Linked DNA regions of Anolis sagrei. The protein of the gene in region 2 purifies or fractionates together with the protein of the main gene of each other region. This does not show direct contact. Links are inferred from orthologs where the notes say so. Each region holds a gene or a part of one and is shown on either strand. Other genes may lie near its edges.

What was found.
Region 1: the proteins of SNCA (region 2) and CLU purify together in Homo sapiens (affinity purification with western blotting; 3 studies listed by BioGRID and IntAct, with this or other methods). This does not show direct contact. The link is inferred for Anolis sagrei from reciprocal best matches to the Homo sapiens genes SNCA and CLU.

Annotation. Positions count from the first base shown.
Region 1 is NC_090021.1:3,069,703-3,078,110, reverse strand, and holds the start of CLU (clusterin), read right to left. Parts: upstream 3,302-8,408; 5' UTR 3,221-3,301; intron 1-3,220.
Region 2 is NC_090025.1:20,884,301-20,891,897, reverse strand, and holds the start of SNCA (alpha-synuclein), read left to right. Parts: upstream 1-4,097; 5' UTR 4,098-4,486; intron 4,487-7,597. UniProt on the Homo sapiens protein: Neuronal protein that plays several roles in synaptic activity such as regulation of synaptic vesicle trafficking and subsequent neurotransmitter release.

The DNA.
Region 1 (8,408 bases), on a different chromosome or scaffold from region 2:
GGGAAGATACAATGTGGGAAATATGCTTTGGAAGAAGCCAAGCACCACCGCTGCCTGAAGTTCTATATTTGGATATATATATATATATATATATATATATATATATATATATATATCCTATGCAAAATAAATCAGAAAGTTAAAGAAAAAAAAATAAGTCAAGGTACAATATAGGATCAATGCAAAAATAAATTCCAAATAGAGGATCAATGCAAAACTAAATTCACAATAGAGGATCATTGCAAAACTAAATTCAAAATAGGGGATCAATGCAAAACTAAATTCAAAACATAGGATCAATACACAAATACATTCAAAATAGAGGATCAATGCACAAATAAATTCAAAATACAGGATCAACGCACAAATAAATTCAAAATACAGGATCAATGCAAAAATAAATTCAAAACAGAGGATCAATGCACAAATACATTCAAAATAGAGGATCAAGGCACAAATAAATTCAAAATATATGATCAAGGCACAAATAAATTCAAAATAGAGGATCAAGGCACAAATAAATTCAAAATAGAGGATCAATGCACAAATAAATTCAAAATACAGGATTAATGCACAAATAAATCCAAATATTAGATTTTAAAAAGAAGACAGGGTAAATAAAAGGCAGGAGATATGCAATGTGTAAAATAGGATACGGTAACTGCAAAATTTAGCATTAAATGGCCTTGCAGCTTCAAAGACTGGCTGGTTGCTTCTGGGGGGTTCTTTTTTGGGAGGTGTTAGGCGCCTTCGGTGGCACAGTGGGTTAAACCGCTGAGCTGCTGAACTTGCTGACCAAAAGGTCGGCAGTTCAAATCCAGGGAGCAGGATGAGCTCCTGCTGTTAGCTCCAGCTCCTGCCAACCTAGCAGTTTGAAAACATGCAAATGTGAGATCAATAGGTACCACTCCGGCGGGAAGGTAACAGTGCTCCATGCAGTCATGCTGGCCACATGACCTTGGAGGTGTCTTTGACTTAGAGATGGAGATGAGCACCAGAGTCCCCGAGTTGGACACAACTGGACTTAATGTCAAGGGGAAACCTTTACTTTTAACTAATTGGAATCATTAAATAAAAACTTAAGGGAGGATGCAATGTAGGAGAGATGCAATATGCAAAATAGGATCCATGCAAATTAAATATTGCATTGTTTTGAGCACTGTTTACTGCTTTAAGAGAGGAAAGCAGTATATAAATAAGTGTCTATATAAATAAAAAGGTATTGTTAGTTTGTGGGATTAACATAACTCAAAAACCACTGGACAAATTGACACCAAATTTGGACACGATATGCCTATCAAACCAACGAATGACTGTCACTCATAAAAACACTGAAAAACACAGCAGAAGAGACTTAAAAAGCCAAAAAACTAAAAATTAAATTACAACACATGGGCAAAACCATATATATATGCAAAAACACATATACACAAACACACAAAACACATATACACAGAGTGGGCCACAGCAAAGCGTAGCAGGGGACGGCTAGTCTATATAAATAAAAATGTAATGTTCATTTGTGAGATTAACAAAACTCAAAAACCACTGGATGAATTGACACCAAATTTGGACACAAGGCACCTAACAACCCAATGTATGTCCTTCACTCAAAAAAATTGATTTCGTCATTTGGGAATTGTAGTTACTGGGATTTATAGTTCACCTACAATCAAAGAGCACTCTGAACCCCACCAACGATGGAATTGAACCAAACTTGGCACACAGTTCTCCCATGACCAACAGAAAATACTGGAAGGGTTTGGTGGGCAACGTCCTTTGGTTTTGGAGCTGTAGTTCACCTACATCCAGCGATCACTGAGGACTCAAACAATGATGAATCTGGACCAAACTCTACACAAATACTCAATATGCCCAAATGTGAACACTGGTAGAGTTTGGGGAAAATAGAATCTTGTCATTCAGGAGTTGTAGTTGCTGGGATTTATAGTTCACCTACAATCAAAGAGCATTCTGAATCCCACCAACTATAGAATTGGGCCAAACCTTCCACACAGAACCCCCATGAGATCCACAACAACGTGTGGCAGGGGGCGGCTAGTAATAAATATAGTATTAAAATACAGTATAATAAATCAGAATATTACATTACAAAATAGGATCTATGTAAATTGGATACTGCATTGTTTTTAGCATAGTTCACAGCCTGAAGAGAAGAAAGTGGTATGTAAACAAATATAATATTATAATATAATAAATGCAATAACAATACAATATAAATTCATATAATGATAATATATCAAAATATAAAAATCGAAATATTGCAATAGTTAGGGGACCATGTAAGGTGCATGTAATGTCCAAAATAGGATAGGCACAAAATAAATCAGAGTTTGGGAATTGGAAGAAACTATAACTCCCATCAGCCTGCAAGCAGCATACTGGGAGTTGTGGTCCCTTTAAAAAGGATGCTCTATAGTAGGGAATAGGCACAGAACTTGAGCCAAAAAATGGGGTTCAAACTAATAATCATAATATGTAGTATTTGCAAAATAAACCACAGCTTTGGGAATTGGAAGAAACTATAACTCCCATCATCCTGCCAGCAGCATCCTGGGAGTTGTGGTCCCTTTAAAAAAGATGCTCTATAGTAGGGAATAGGCACAGAACTTGAGCCAAAAGGGGAAACTGGGTTCAAACTAATAATCATAATATGTAATATTTGCAAAATAAATCAGATCTTGGGAACTCCCATAAGTCCCATCATCCTCCAACCAGCATGCTGGGAGTTGTGGTCCCTTTAAAAAGGATGCTCTGTAAGAGGAAATAAGTACAGAACTCTAGCCAAAAAGTAAAACGGGGTTCAAACTAATAATCATAATATGTAATATCTGCAAACACGCATGATGACACGTGTTCCCCATGTCACGTTCACACGAGACGCCCTCTGCGCGTCAATTTGCGGGTTTATTTTCTTTTTCCTTCCCTCCTCAACCACAGGAGCAGGAAAGAACGCAAACACGCATCTTGCACGCTTTTTGCACGCATGCATGTGTGAATGGGCCAAAAGGGGGCTGACTTGCGTGTTTTGCAGACTCATACCCCATTCTTATGGACCGGGGGATAAACTAACATGGTGTTTGCTTATATTTTTGATGGGGACTTTGCAAGCCTTGCAAAAGTAATCCCTTCCCTCTTGCATTGCAGTGCATTGCATCTCCCCTTCCTCAGGCAATCCCTCCCACTCTCTCCTTCTTACCTGTCCTTGGCTCTTCTTCCCTCCTCGGACTGTCCGAATGGCGCAGCAGCACTCCGGCCCTTTTATCCTACAGCCCCTCCCTCCTTTTTCTCCCCCCCCCCCCCACCGCTGTGACGTCACCTTCCCCATCCAGGTCCCCAGTTCTCAATCCATCCGCAAAAAGGCGCACTACCCAGAGTGGTCGCTAGAGGGAGCGCTCGCCAATGGGAAAACAGCATAGCCTTATGACTCTTTGTTGTTGTTCATTCGTTCAGTCGTCTCCGACTCTTCGTGACCTCATGGACCAGCCTACGCCAGAGCTCCCTGTCGGCCGTTACCACCCCCAGCTCCCTCAAGGTCAGTCCAGTCACTTCAAGGATGCCATCCATCCATCTTGCCCTTGGTTGGCCCCTCTTCCTTTTGCCTTCCACTTTCCCCAGCATAATTGTCTTCTCTAGGCTTTGCTGTCTCCTCATGATGTGGCCAAAGTACTTCAACTTTGTCTCTAGTATCCTTCCTTCCAGTGAGCAGTCGGGCTTTATTTCCTGGAGGATGGACTGGTTGGATCTTCTCGCAGTCCAAGGCACTCTCAGCACTTTCCTCCAACACCACAGCTCAAAAGCATCTCTCTTCCTTCGCTCAGCCTTCCCGAAGGTCCAGCTCTCACATGCGTAGATGTGACTACAGCGAATACCATGGCTTGGACTAGGCAATGGATCTTGGTTGCCAGTCTGATGTCTCTACTCTTTACTATTTTATCGAGACTGGACATTGCTCTCCTCCCAAGAAGGAAGCGTCTTCTGATTTCCTGGCCACAGTCTGCATCTGCAGTCATCTTTGCACCTAGAAATACAAAGTCTGTCACAGCCTCCACGGTTTCTCCCTCTATTTTCCAGTTGTCAATCATTCTTGTTGCCATCATCTTGGTTTTTTTGATGTTTAGCTGCAACCCGGCTTTTGCGCTTTCTTCTTCCACCTTGATTAGAAGGCTCCTCAGCTCCTCCTCGCTTTCGGCCATCAGAGTGGTGTCATCTGCATATCTGAGGTTGTTAATGTTTCTTCCAGCAATTTTCACCCCAGCCTTGCATTCATCAAGCCCCGCACATCCTCGCATGATGTGTTCTGCATACCAGTTACAGAGGTTGGGTGAGAGTATGCAGCCTTGCCGGACGCCTTTCCCAATCTTGAACCCGTCTCCTGTTCCGTGGTCAGTTCTGACTGTTGCTCCTTGGTCCTTGTACAGATTCCTCAGGAGAGAGACAAGGGGGCTTGGTATGCCCATCCCACCAAGAACTTGCCACAATTTATTATGATCCACACAGTCAAAGGCTTTGGAATAGTCAATGAAGCAGAAGTAGATGTTTTTCTGAAACTCCCTGCCTTTCTCCATTCTCCAGCATCCGGATATTGGCAATCTGGTCTCTCATTCCTCTGCCTTTTCTAATCCCAGCTTGAACATCTGGCAACTCTCGCTCCATGTATTGCTGGAGTCTTCCTTGCAGGATCTTGAGCATTACCTTACTGGCATGAGAAATAAGGGCCACTGTACGGAAGTTTGAGCAGTCTTTCGCATTTCCCTTTTTTGGTATGGGGATATAAGTTGATTTTTTCCAGTCTGATGGCCATTCTTGTGTTTTCCATATTTGCTGGCAAATGGCATGCATCACCTTGACAGCATCATCTTTTAAGATTTTAAACAGTTCAGCTGGGATCCCGTCGTCTCCTGCTGCCTTGTTGTTAGCAATGCTTCTTAAGGCCCATTCAACCTCACTCCTCAGGATGTCTGGTTCTTATGACTCTAGGTCAGCGTTTCTCAACCTGGGAGTGGGGACCCCTGGAAGGGGGGGGGGTACGAGGGGGTGTCAGAGGGGTCGGCAAAGACCACCAGAAAACACAGAATTTCGTATTGGTCCTGGGGGTTCTGTGTGGGAAGTTTAGCCCAATTCTACCGTTGGTGGGGTTCAGGATGCTCTTTGATTGTAGGTGAACTATCAATCCCAGCAAATACAACTCCCAAATGTGAAGCTCTATTTTCCCCAAACTCTACCAGTGTTCACATTTGGGCATATTAAGTATCCGTGCCAAGTTTGGTCCAGATCCATCATTGTTTGAGTCCACAGTGCTCTCTGGATGTAGGTGAACTACAACTCCAAAACTCAAGGTCAGTGCCCACCAAACCCTTTCAGTATTTTCTGTTGGTCATGGGAGTTCTGTGTGCCAAGTTTGGGCCAATTCTACCATTGATGGGGTTCTGAATGATCTTTGATTGTAGGTGATCAATCCCAGCAAATACAACTCCCAAATGTCCAGCTCTATTTTCCCCAAACTCCACCAGTGTTCATATTTGGGCATATTAAGTATCCATGCCAAGTTTGGTCCAGATCCATCATTGTTTGAGTCCACAGTGCTCTCTGGATGTAGGTGAACTACAACTCCCAAAACTCAAGGTCAGTGTCCACCAAACCCTTCCAGTATTTTCTGTTGGTCATGGGAGTTCTGTGTGAAAGGGTCCACAGAGCTCTAAGTATCTCATCGAACTACAACTCCCGACACTCCTCAATATGGAGCTGTGGCTGTGGCTCCATACTGAGGAGTGTCGGGAGTTGTAGTTCGATGAGATACTTAGAGCTCTGTGGACCCTTTCATGCTATACAAGGGGTCTTATTTCCCTGCCAAATAGTAGTAGCGCCTTGCTAAACTAGAAATCCCAGGCCCCTTGTATAGCATGAATGGGCCTACAGAGCTCTAAGCATCTCATCAAACTACAACTCCCAACATTCCTCAGTATGGAGACACAGGCCCAAAAGGTAGATCGTACAATGGAATGCATGCAGTTTGGCACCACCTTAGCTTATCCTGGGAGTTGTAATTCCACAAGGTCTTCGGCTTCTCTGCCAAATAGTAGTGGTGCCTCACTACACTAGAAATCCCGAAGACCTTGTGGAACTACAACTCCCAGGATCAGCTGAAGTGGTGTCAAACTGCATGCATTCCATTGTACGACCTATCTTTTGGGCCTTGTGTTTACTTTTCTGCACCTCTGTCCCTTGATTCACCTTTTCCTCCTTTTCAGAGTAAACAAACCCAAAACGTTTGAACTTCCCTTCCAATCTCTTAATCCGCTTAGATGTTGCAAACCTCATGAAGGATGTTCTCACAGGTGTGGTTTTTGAATGTGCAATGAACATGACCTTGATCAAGGCTGCATGTAACAAAGGTTACCTTTATACCAGGCATGGGCAAACTTTGGCCCTCCAGGTGTTTTGGACTTCAACTCCCACAATTCCTGGCCTCAGGCCCTTCCCAGCTTCAGGAAAGGGCCTGAAGCCGATGTTGAACATGAATTTAGGAGACTCTGCCGAAGCAGAGGTCAGCAGGTTCCCCAGAGTTGTCAGGCTTCTGGACACACATGAGATGCAGGGGTCCATAATGAAAAAGTGAGATAACAGTTAGTCACAAAATTAGTCTAGGAGAAAATGGCATCGGTTTGGAGTCGGTCCGTTGACCGCGGATACGGGGCCCCAAAGGGTTTCCATATCCACGGTTCAGAGGAACGCAGTTTCAGCCTCCCCGGGATGCTGTACGAGCATCCTGGGTGAGCCAACAGTGGAGTCGATCTGTTGACCTGCGGATACGGAGGCCCAAAGGGTTTCCGTATCCATGGTTCAGAGGAACACAGTTTCAGCCTCCCCAAGATGCTGTAAGAGCATCCTGGGTGAGCCAACAGTGGAGTCGATCTGTTGTCCCGCGGATACGGGGGCCCAAAGGGTTTCCGTATCAACGGTTCAGAGGAACGCAGTTTCAGCCTTCCCGGGATGCTATAAGAGCATCCTGGGTGAGCCAACAGTGGAGTTGATCTGTTGACCCACGGATACGGGGGCCCAAAGGGTTTCCGTATCAACGGTTCAGAGGAACGCAGTTTCAGCCTTCCCGGGATGCTATAAGAGCATCTTGGGTGAGCCAACAGTGGAGTCGATCTGTTGACCCGTGGATACGGGGCCCCAAAGGGTTTCCGTATCCATGGTTCAGAGGAACGCAGTTTCAGCCTCCCCAGGATTCTGTAAGAGCTTCCCGGCTGAGCTAACAATGATCTGCGGCTCGGAAAGGGAAAGGTTCATGTTAGAGAGTGTTAGAGGCAGTAAAGAGACACAATGTATCACTACGAGGAGAAAAAGTTGCAGTTGAAGGATACTTTTATTGGGGATTATTACACTGTTGTTACAAAGGAAAGCAGACGGTGATTTTTAGTTGAAACTACTGCTGTGGCCACAGTCCCATCATTGTTGGCCCAATCAGATGTCCTGGAACTGCGGAACTCCCTGCTGCGGTTCAGATCAACTTGATTGAGGGAGCTTGGGGGCTCGACCTCAAAGCTAGGAATTGTGGGAGTTGAAGTCCAAAACACCTGGAGGGCCAAAGTTTGCTCTTGCCTGCTCTACAGCATAGAACGAATGAAATTCAAGACCTCTTTCAATGCTTTGACCCAATGCTATGGAATTATGGAAGTTGTAGTTTTGGCGAGTCACCAAAGGCAGAGAAAGCTCAGGAATACATCCAACTACAACTCCCAAGCATTCCATAGTATTCAGCCAGGGTGGTCAAAGTGATGTCCAACTGCATTCATTCCACAGTGTAGATAGACAGGCTGACCTTTCTCCACAACTGCTTCCTCAAGTGTTGCAAAGTGTCTTGAGGTGTCGCATCAGCTCTTTTGTTGACTCATCCTTTTCCATTGCGACACAAACCGCAGATGACTCGGTTTCTGTTTTTGACTTTCCTTCATCTTGCTGCTTATTTATTGCAACATCTTGTCTAAGTCTGCCTTTTCCACTCCAGGATAAACACAGAGCTAGAAGGGTCCCCCAAAGGCCATCCAGACTGACCCCTTTCTGCCAGGCAGGAAGATATACCACCCAAGCCCTCCAGACAGATGGCCACCCAGACTCTGATCCTTTCTAAACTGCTATCAAACCCAGATGATCAAATCAGATAATCCGCATTATCTGCTTTGACCTGGATTATATGAGTCTACACTGCTATATAATCCAGTTGAAAGCAGTTAGTTTGGATTTTACATGACAGTGTAGAACAGTGTTTCTCAACCTGGGGGTCGGGACCCCTGAGGGGGTCGCAAAGGGGTGTCAGAGGGGTCGCCAAAGACTATCAGAAAACACAGCATTTTCTGATGGTCATGAGGATTCCATATGGG
Region 2 (7,597 bases):
AATGGTATGCTTGGGCCAGAACTACTTAATTTCAATAGGGTTCACAGTTTCATGTATCTACAAAACGCCCAGGAGCTTAACTTCTATAATATGGGGATCATACTCTATTGCAGTGGTTCTCAACCTGGGGTCCCCATATGTTTTTGGCCTACAACTCCCAGAAATCCCAGCCAGTTGACCAGCTGTTAGGATTTCTGGAAGTTGGAGGCCGAAAACATCTGGGGACCCCAGGTTGAGAACCACTGCTCTATTGTAAAGAAGAAGTCATAATATAAGTTTATTGAGTTCATCAAGAACTAGACTCTACTCAAGGTATAAAAGAGCCAGGCAACTCAATCTTTAGATGAAACTTTAAAAAAACAACAAAAATAAATCTTTATTTCAAGGATGAAAATGAGAAAATTCTGTACACCCTTTGTTTATTGTGGATTTAAGCTGATGTAACAGTGAACTGACCTTTATAACAGCAAATTGGCATGGTGTTTTTCTTATGTCTGAGTGGATTTTTAAAAAATGCGTAAATAACAAGAGAATTGAAGATGTTAACTCTCTCCTCTACTATGGTTGCAGTCTAGATGACTCCTATATGAGTAGTTTTATAAAAGGAGGCAAGTATCCATTGGGGTCTTTGCAGGTTTTCTTCCAAAGCTACTATAGGTATTAGCCAGACTAGGCTATGGTGAGGAAAGTAAGTGGAGCTGGACCATAGTAAAGGAAAAGAGTTTATGACCTTATCACCTGGCTTCGTCTGGTTTTGTGGAGGAAAGAGGGGGGGGGGCAGCGGACAGAGGCGGCCCTAGGTAATTTTCAACAGTATTTTGGCGCCCCCTCCCCCCCCCAACCAATCACTGATAGATATTTTCTGTTCATCGTGGGAGTTCTGTGTACCATATTTGGTTCAATTCCATCATTGGTGGAGTCCAGAATGCTCTTTGATTGTAGGTGAACTATACATCCCAGTAACTACAACTCGCATATGTCAAGGTCTATTTTCCCCCAAGAGTGCCTCAAGTGCGCCCCTGGGCAAAATCAACTATACTGCAAATGCTTACTTTGCGTAATGGGTTGAGACATCCCTGGCAGCAGAGTGAATCTGTTGCCTCACGAGCAGCTCTTCTTGATGATGCTTTCTCTATCACATGTGGGAAGTGTCGCCCTTCTGGGGAGGATTTGTGCTGGCTCCATTGGGGCCAGCACAATATAGGAAGCCTCCTGTGTTGTGTGGGAAGCATCCACAGATGCCTCCACCCCGATTGGGGGCAGGGCCTCCACCAGAAGTCACACAATGTTGTGTGATGGCTGGCATTTCCATCCCCAAAACAGACTGGAAGCTTCCTAGGACACTGAATTTGGTGAGTGTGATGAGGTTGTTAAACTCCTCTAACACTGCACAGGAAACATTTTCTGTAGAGAAAATAATATTTTTCTGCACATTCTGAACAATTTTGATTCTTTGGATTTTGGATGCATTTGGGATGCAGAAGTCATGGACATAGAGGACCAACGAGATGTTTGAAACTCCAGCTCCCAGAAAATCCAGCTAGGATGTCCAGTGAGGGAGGATTGGAGATAGTGATCCAAAACATCTCAAGAGACAGCCAAATGTTCCCCATCCCAGCTCCATTATTTGATATGCAACTGATCCTCGGTATCCACAAAGTCTGCATTGACAAATTCCATCATCTACAATTTGGAAATATTCTCTTCACATTCCATAAACCAATCATAATATTACCCTTCTATATAAGGGGCACCCTTTCCCTACACCATGTATATCATGTGATTTGAGAATCCACAGATTTTGGAGAGACCTGGAACCAAATACCAGAAGATACTATTATTTATTTACTGTATTTATATACCACCTTTCTCACCCCTGAGGGACTCAAGGTGGTTTACAACATACTAATGGCAAAAATTCAATGCCAACATACAGTACACAAAGAAATCATAATAATTAATTACTACATATAACTATTAACTTAAAACCAGTTAAAACCATTAAAGATAAGACATAAATAACATTTAAACATTCAGACAAAGCATAAAATCATCCTAGTATAAAGATTAAAATCCCATGATCCAGAAATCATATATCATAGCCATTCTGAACTGTCATTGCACATGTTCCTTAATTATTCTTCCTACTGCATTATTTATTAGCCAAAGGCTTGATCCCACAACCATGTCTTTGTTCTCTTTTTAAAGGTCAGGAGGGAGGGCGCTGATCTAATCTTTCTAGGGAGGCAGTTCCAGAGCCAAGGAGCCACAACTGAGAAGGCCCTGTTTGTTGTCCCCATCAACTGCACATGTGACAGAGGCGGGACCAAGAGCAGAGCCTCCCCAGTTGATCTTAACCTCCTTGATGGTTCATACTAAAAGCCGATTTTATTTGCTATGCAAATAAGCAATGCTTCTTATATAACCTACCTATCACTTGAGAGCACTGGTTCTCAACTTTTGGTTCTCCGGGTGCTTTGGACTTTGAGTCCCAGAATTTCAGGTAGTTAACCAAGCTAGGTGAAGCTTCTGGGAGTTGAAGACTGAAAAACCCCTAGGACCAAAGTTTGGGAACCACTGCAAGATCAGAGCCCACAGTATTTACTATGCAACAAGGAATACTTCTTATATAACCTCTATGTCTTTAAAGCACTTGTTACCAACTTTTGCTCCCATAAGTGTTTTGGAGCTTGGAGAAGACAATGATGTTGGGGAAATGGAAGGAAAAAGGAGGAGGGGACAACCAAGGGCAAGATAGATGGATGGTATCCTTGGCTTGGCTTGGAAGTAACTGGGGGTGGCCACAGCCAACAGGGAGCTCTGGCATGAGTTGATCCATGAGGTCATGAACAGTTGGAAGTGACTGAGTGAATGAATAAACAACAGCAACAAATGTTTTGGACTTTAGCTCTCAGAAGTCCTGACAGCTGGTTAAGCTGGCTATGACTTCTGGGAGTTAAATCATAGAATCATAGAATCAAAGAGTTGGAAGAGACCTCATGGGCCATCCAGTCCAACCCCCTGCCAAGAAGCAGGAATGTTGCATTCATGGCAGGGGGTTGGACGGGATGGCCCATGAGGTCTCTTCCAACTCTTTGATTCTATGATTCTCTGATTCTATGATTAACTCCCAGAAGTCATAGCCAGCTGTCAGGACTTCTGAGAGCTGAAGTCCAAAACATTTGTTGCTGTTGTTCTGGGAGTTAAAGTCCCAAAACCTGTAGGACCAAAGCTTGAGAACCACTACCAGTTTAGAGTACACCTATGGAAGCAGAAGCAGTGAAAAATATAGGTATAAGAGCGGAGGTCACTACACCCTTGCCCACCAACCTGCTTTTCCTTGGGTACATTTACACAGCAGAATATGCACCACTTTAACTGCCATGGCTCATTGCGACAACTCCCTTGATTCCAAAACATTGTGCCATAGCAGCTAACATGATGCCAAACTGAATTAATTATATAATATAGATGCACCCTGGAACCAAACCCCTGAAGAATGTTTGTTGTTCATTTGTTCAGTCGTCTCCGACTTCGTGACCTCATAGATGAGCCCACGCCAGAGCTCCCTGTCGGCTGTCACCACCCCCAGCTCCTTCAAGGTCAGTCCAGTCACTTCAAGGATGCCATCCATCCATTTTGCCCTTGGTCGGCCCGTCTTCCTTTTGCCTTCCACTTTCCCCAGCATAATTGTCTTCTCTAGGCTTTGCTGAAGAATGTATTTACTATGTAATAAGACATGCTTCTTATATAACATGTCTATCCCTTTAAACTACTGCTTCCTAAAATTTGGTTGTTTTGGGTGTGTTGAGCCTCAGCTCCCAGAATTCCTGACGTCCAAAGCAGCTGAGGCTTCTGGAAGCTGAAGTCTCAAAAACCTGCAGGACTAGAGTTTGCAGGAAGGCAGCGCAAACTGGAAGAAAAATTCCCCACTTGTTGCCCATCGGAGGAGGAAGAGTTTCTCCTTTCAGGAAAGCCTTCGAGGTGTATTTCGGAGGTGGAGGGGAGGGGAGAATAGGGGGGTTTCTTTACTACCGGGTGGAGCCAGCAAAAGATGGAGAGACCAGGGAGGAGGAGGAAGAGGAGGAGAGGAGGAAGGCGGCGTCCTGGCTCCGGCTTGGCTCCTGGGCGCGGCTTGCCTCCGCTACCTGACGAATGAGACAAGAGGCGGTGAAAAAAGGCGCAGGGGGAGGGGGAAAGAGGGAGAGAGAGGAAGAGAAGCAAGGGAAGGAACTGGCTGGTCTCCCTTCAAGCCCTGGCTGCCTTCCCTCTTTCCCACCCATTGCCCTGAAAGCGGAACCTGGGACCCATCTTTCCCCTCCTGGCCTTACTTCCCCTGGACCTGGGTACCACTCTTGCCTGCATCCCTGCATCCTTCAGCCGGGATGTACTAAGCCAAACATCGCCCTGCTCTCTTCTCCCTGCTCTTAATCACACTTCGAAAGAGTCCCGAGGCGAAAGGAGTCACATTTCATTGGCAAGGAAGGTAAGTAAACTGGTTGAATTGAGACTGGGTTCTTTTATTTCTCCCCTTTGGGGAGAGAAACAGAGAAGGGTTGTGGAGGGATGGCTTTTGCCAGTCTTGGGTGCACTTACAGGCGAGTAAATTCCACCGAGCAGGAAAACAGCTTGCTTTTGGTAGATCTAGGGATGCGTCTACATCCCTACAATTCAGTTTCAAAACACTTAGATTGTCATTACATAGTGGTATGGAATCATAGGATTTGTAGCCTGGTGTCCTGTCTGGTACATCTAGTAGCATCTACAGTCAAGAGTAAATGTATAGTCAAAGGCTTTCATGGCCAGAATCACTGTGCTGTTGTGAGTTTTCTGGGCTATATGGACATGTTCCAGAAGCATTCTCTCCTGATGTTTCGCCTGCATCTATGGCAGGAATCCTCAGATGTTGTGAGGCAGAACTCACAACCTCTGAGGATACCTGCAATATATGTAGGTGAAACATCAGGAGAGAATGCTTCTGGAGCATGGCCATACAGTCCAAAAAACTCACAATAACCCAGAGTGAATGTAGTTTGACAGCACTTTTAACTGCCAGGGCTCTATGGTATGAAATCCTTGGAGTTGTAGTTTGGAGGTACTAGCACTGTTTGGCTTGTTGTAAAACTACAACAAGCATTAATTCATGAGCCATGGCTATTAAAATAGTGTCACACACCACCATTCTACAGTGTCCAGATGGACAATAAGAAAGGTATCCTCGTGGCAATGCCAATTTGCATGTCTTACTCAAGAATAGAGCTTGGTTTAGTGTGGAATTATCTCGTGTGCAAGATTACAGGCAAGCATAGCAATCTTGTGACATAGGCTGCCTTCTGAAGTAAGTCCTGTTGGAAGTAGCAGGATTTATTTTGTATTGTCAAAGGCTTTCATGACCAGAATCACTGGATTGCTGTGAGTTTTCCAGGCTGTACGGCCATGTTCCAGAAGCATTCTCTCCTGACATTTCACCTGCCTCTATGGCAGGCATCCTCAGAGGTTGTGAGATCTGTAGTGTCGAAGGCTTTCATGGCTGGAATCACTAGGTTCTTGTGGGTTTTTTCGGGCTATATGTGAGATCTGTTGTAAACTAGGAAAGTAGAGTTACCTCTTCAGGAATCTACCATACTCTCCTTCTTCCCCATCCATTGCCATGAAAGCGGGAGCTGGGACCCATCTGTTGAAATTGTCCACATGCTTGTGGATTTCAGTGGCTTCTCTGTGTAGCTTGACATGACAGTTGTGAGAGTGGTCCAGCATTTCTGTGTTCTCAAATAATATGTATGCTGTGTCCAGGTTGGTTCATCAAGTACTCTACTATGGCTGACTTCTCTGTTTGAATTAGTCTGCAGTGCCTTTCATGTTCCTTGAATTGTGTTGTATTTACCGTTATTTTAAGAAAATGACTATGAGACTTTGGATACCTGTGGAGCATCTTCCAAATGTTGCAAGTATGTATGTGTGAACAGGTGTCTAGCCCTGAACACCTGTTTTTCAAGACCTCTGTATCTGTATACATCTTTATAGATCTTTTGACTACTGTCAAAAATCAAAATATGCATGTGGTTGAGTTCTTTTCCCCCTCGAGGGGCTGTGGTTGATTTGCATCACTTTGCTGGACTTCTAGGACCAGTGAGGAATGTTGTAGTATCCATTCAAAATGGACCTGAACTGTTTTGCTATTGGGAGTAACACATCCATTTCAGTGAATGGGCTACATCTCTATCTGTATCCTAATGAGGACAGAATTCTCTGTCTTCCCCACAATGGCAAACCAAACGATCCAGTAAACACCTCCAGAGCCTCGCCCTGACTCCTCAGGAATTCAGTGGCATTGCTCCTAGCAGGGTTTGCTGCTAAAATTCCCTTGGGGAGATGGAAATAACAAACATAGAACAGTGGCATTTAAGAACACTAACAAGTCTCTGGGGCAACTGTAAGCATAGTTATTGGACTGTAATTCCCAGCAGCCCCAAGCAATATTGCCAGGAGTGAGGAAGGATGGTGTTGTGGTGCTTTAAGATAACAGGTCTTTTGGGTGTTTTGGATATGGTACAAATGCAACCTGATTTCCAAGCCATGAAATATTGAGTTATGTTCTATCTGTTTATAATTTACCTAGAACCAGAACTCTATTAATACCCCCCACATCCAGACTAATGGTGCTTGTTGCCTTGTAGTAGTGTTCAAAGAGCTAGCCATGCTAGTATGTTTTGCTTCATTAGACTTTTTGGTTATATATGAACATGAAAAGGCATAAAATAATCCAAAAAGAGGCTAAAAAAAGAAATTTTAACATAAGATATCATGCACACAGTCTGTTTCACTTATGCATTGCTTTCTGTAAGAACACAGTCATCCAAGACTCTATGGAATCTGTAGGTGGGCAATTGGATATCTTTTCTGAGATGTGTGAGGATATTTTGGCTCTTTTCACAGGAGTAAGGAACATTCATACAGATCTTACTACAGTATAGTCTTGCTTATCCAACCTCCACTCATCCAACATTCTGTATTATCCAACGCAGTCTGCCTCCTGTCTGGATCTACAGCTGTTTCAATATATTGTGACGTTTTGGTGCTAAATTCATAAATACAGTAATTACTACATAAAGTTACCATGTATTGAACTGCTTTTTAAATCAAATTGTTGTAAAATATTATGTTTTGGTGCTTAATTTGTAAAATCATAATGTAATTTGACATTGAATAGGCTTTTCCTTAATCCCTCCTTATTATCCAACCTTTTTGCTTATCCAACGTGCTGCCGGCCGATTTATGTTGGATAAGCAAGACTACTGTACTTTTTTACTTGACTAAATAGGCTAAATATGGCCTAGAAATACTATCTTCATTATTGAAAGGGGATTAAAAAAAACTCCCCTACCCACACACACACAGAGAAATCAAATTAAAGTGAAATGTTTCTGTTTCAAATTGTACCATTGCGAATAACAGGAAATCAAGTGCATGACATCTTGTGCAGAGACGTGCTCTCCTTCTCTGACTGCAAATAGTTCCATAATTGGTATTTGAACACTTTCAGTATAGGAGGACTTGTCTTTAAAAATACAACGAAGAGATGCTGTCCCAGATGTTA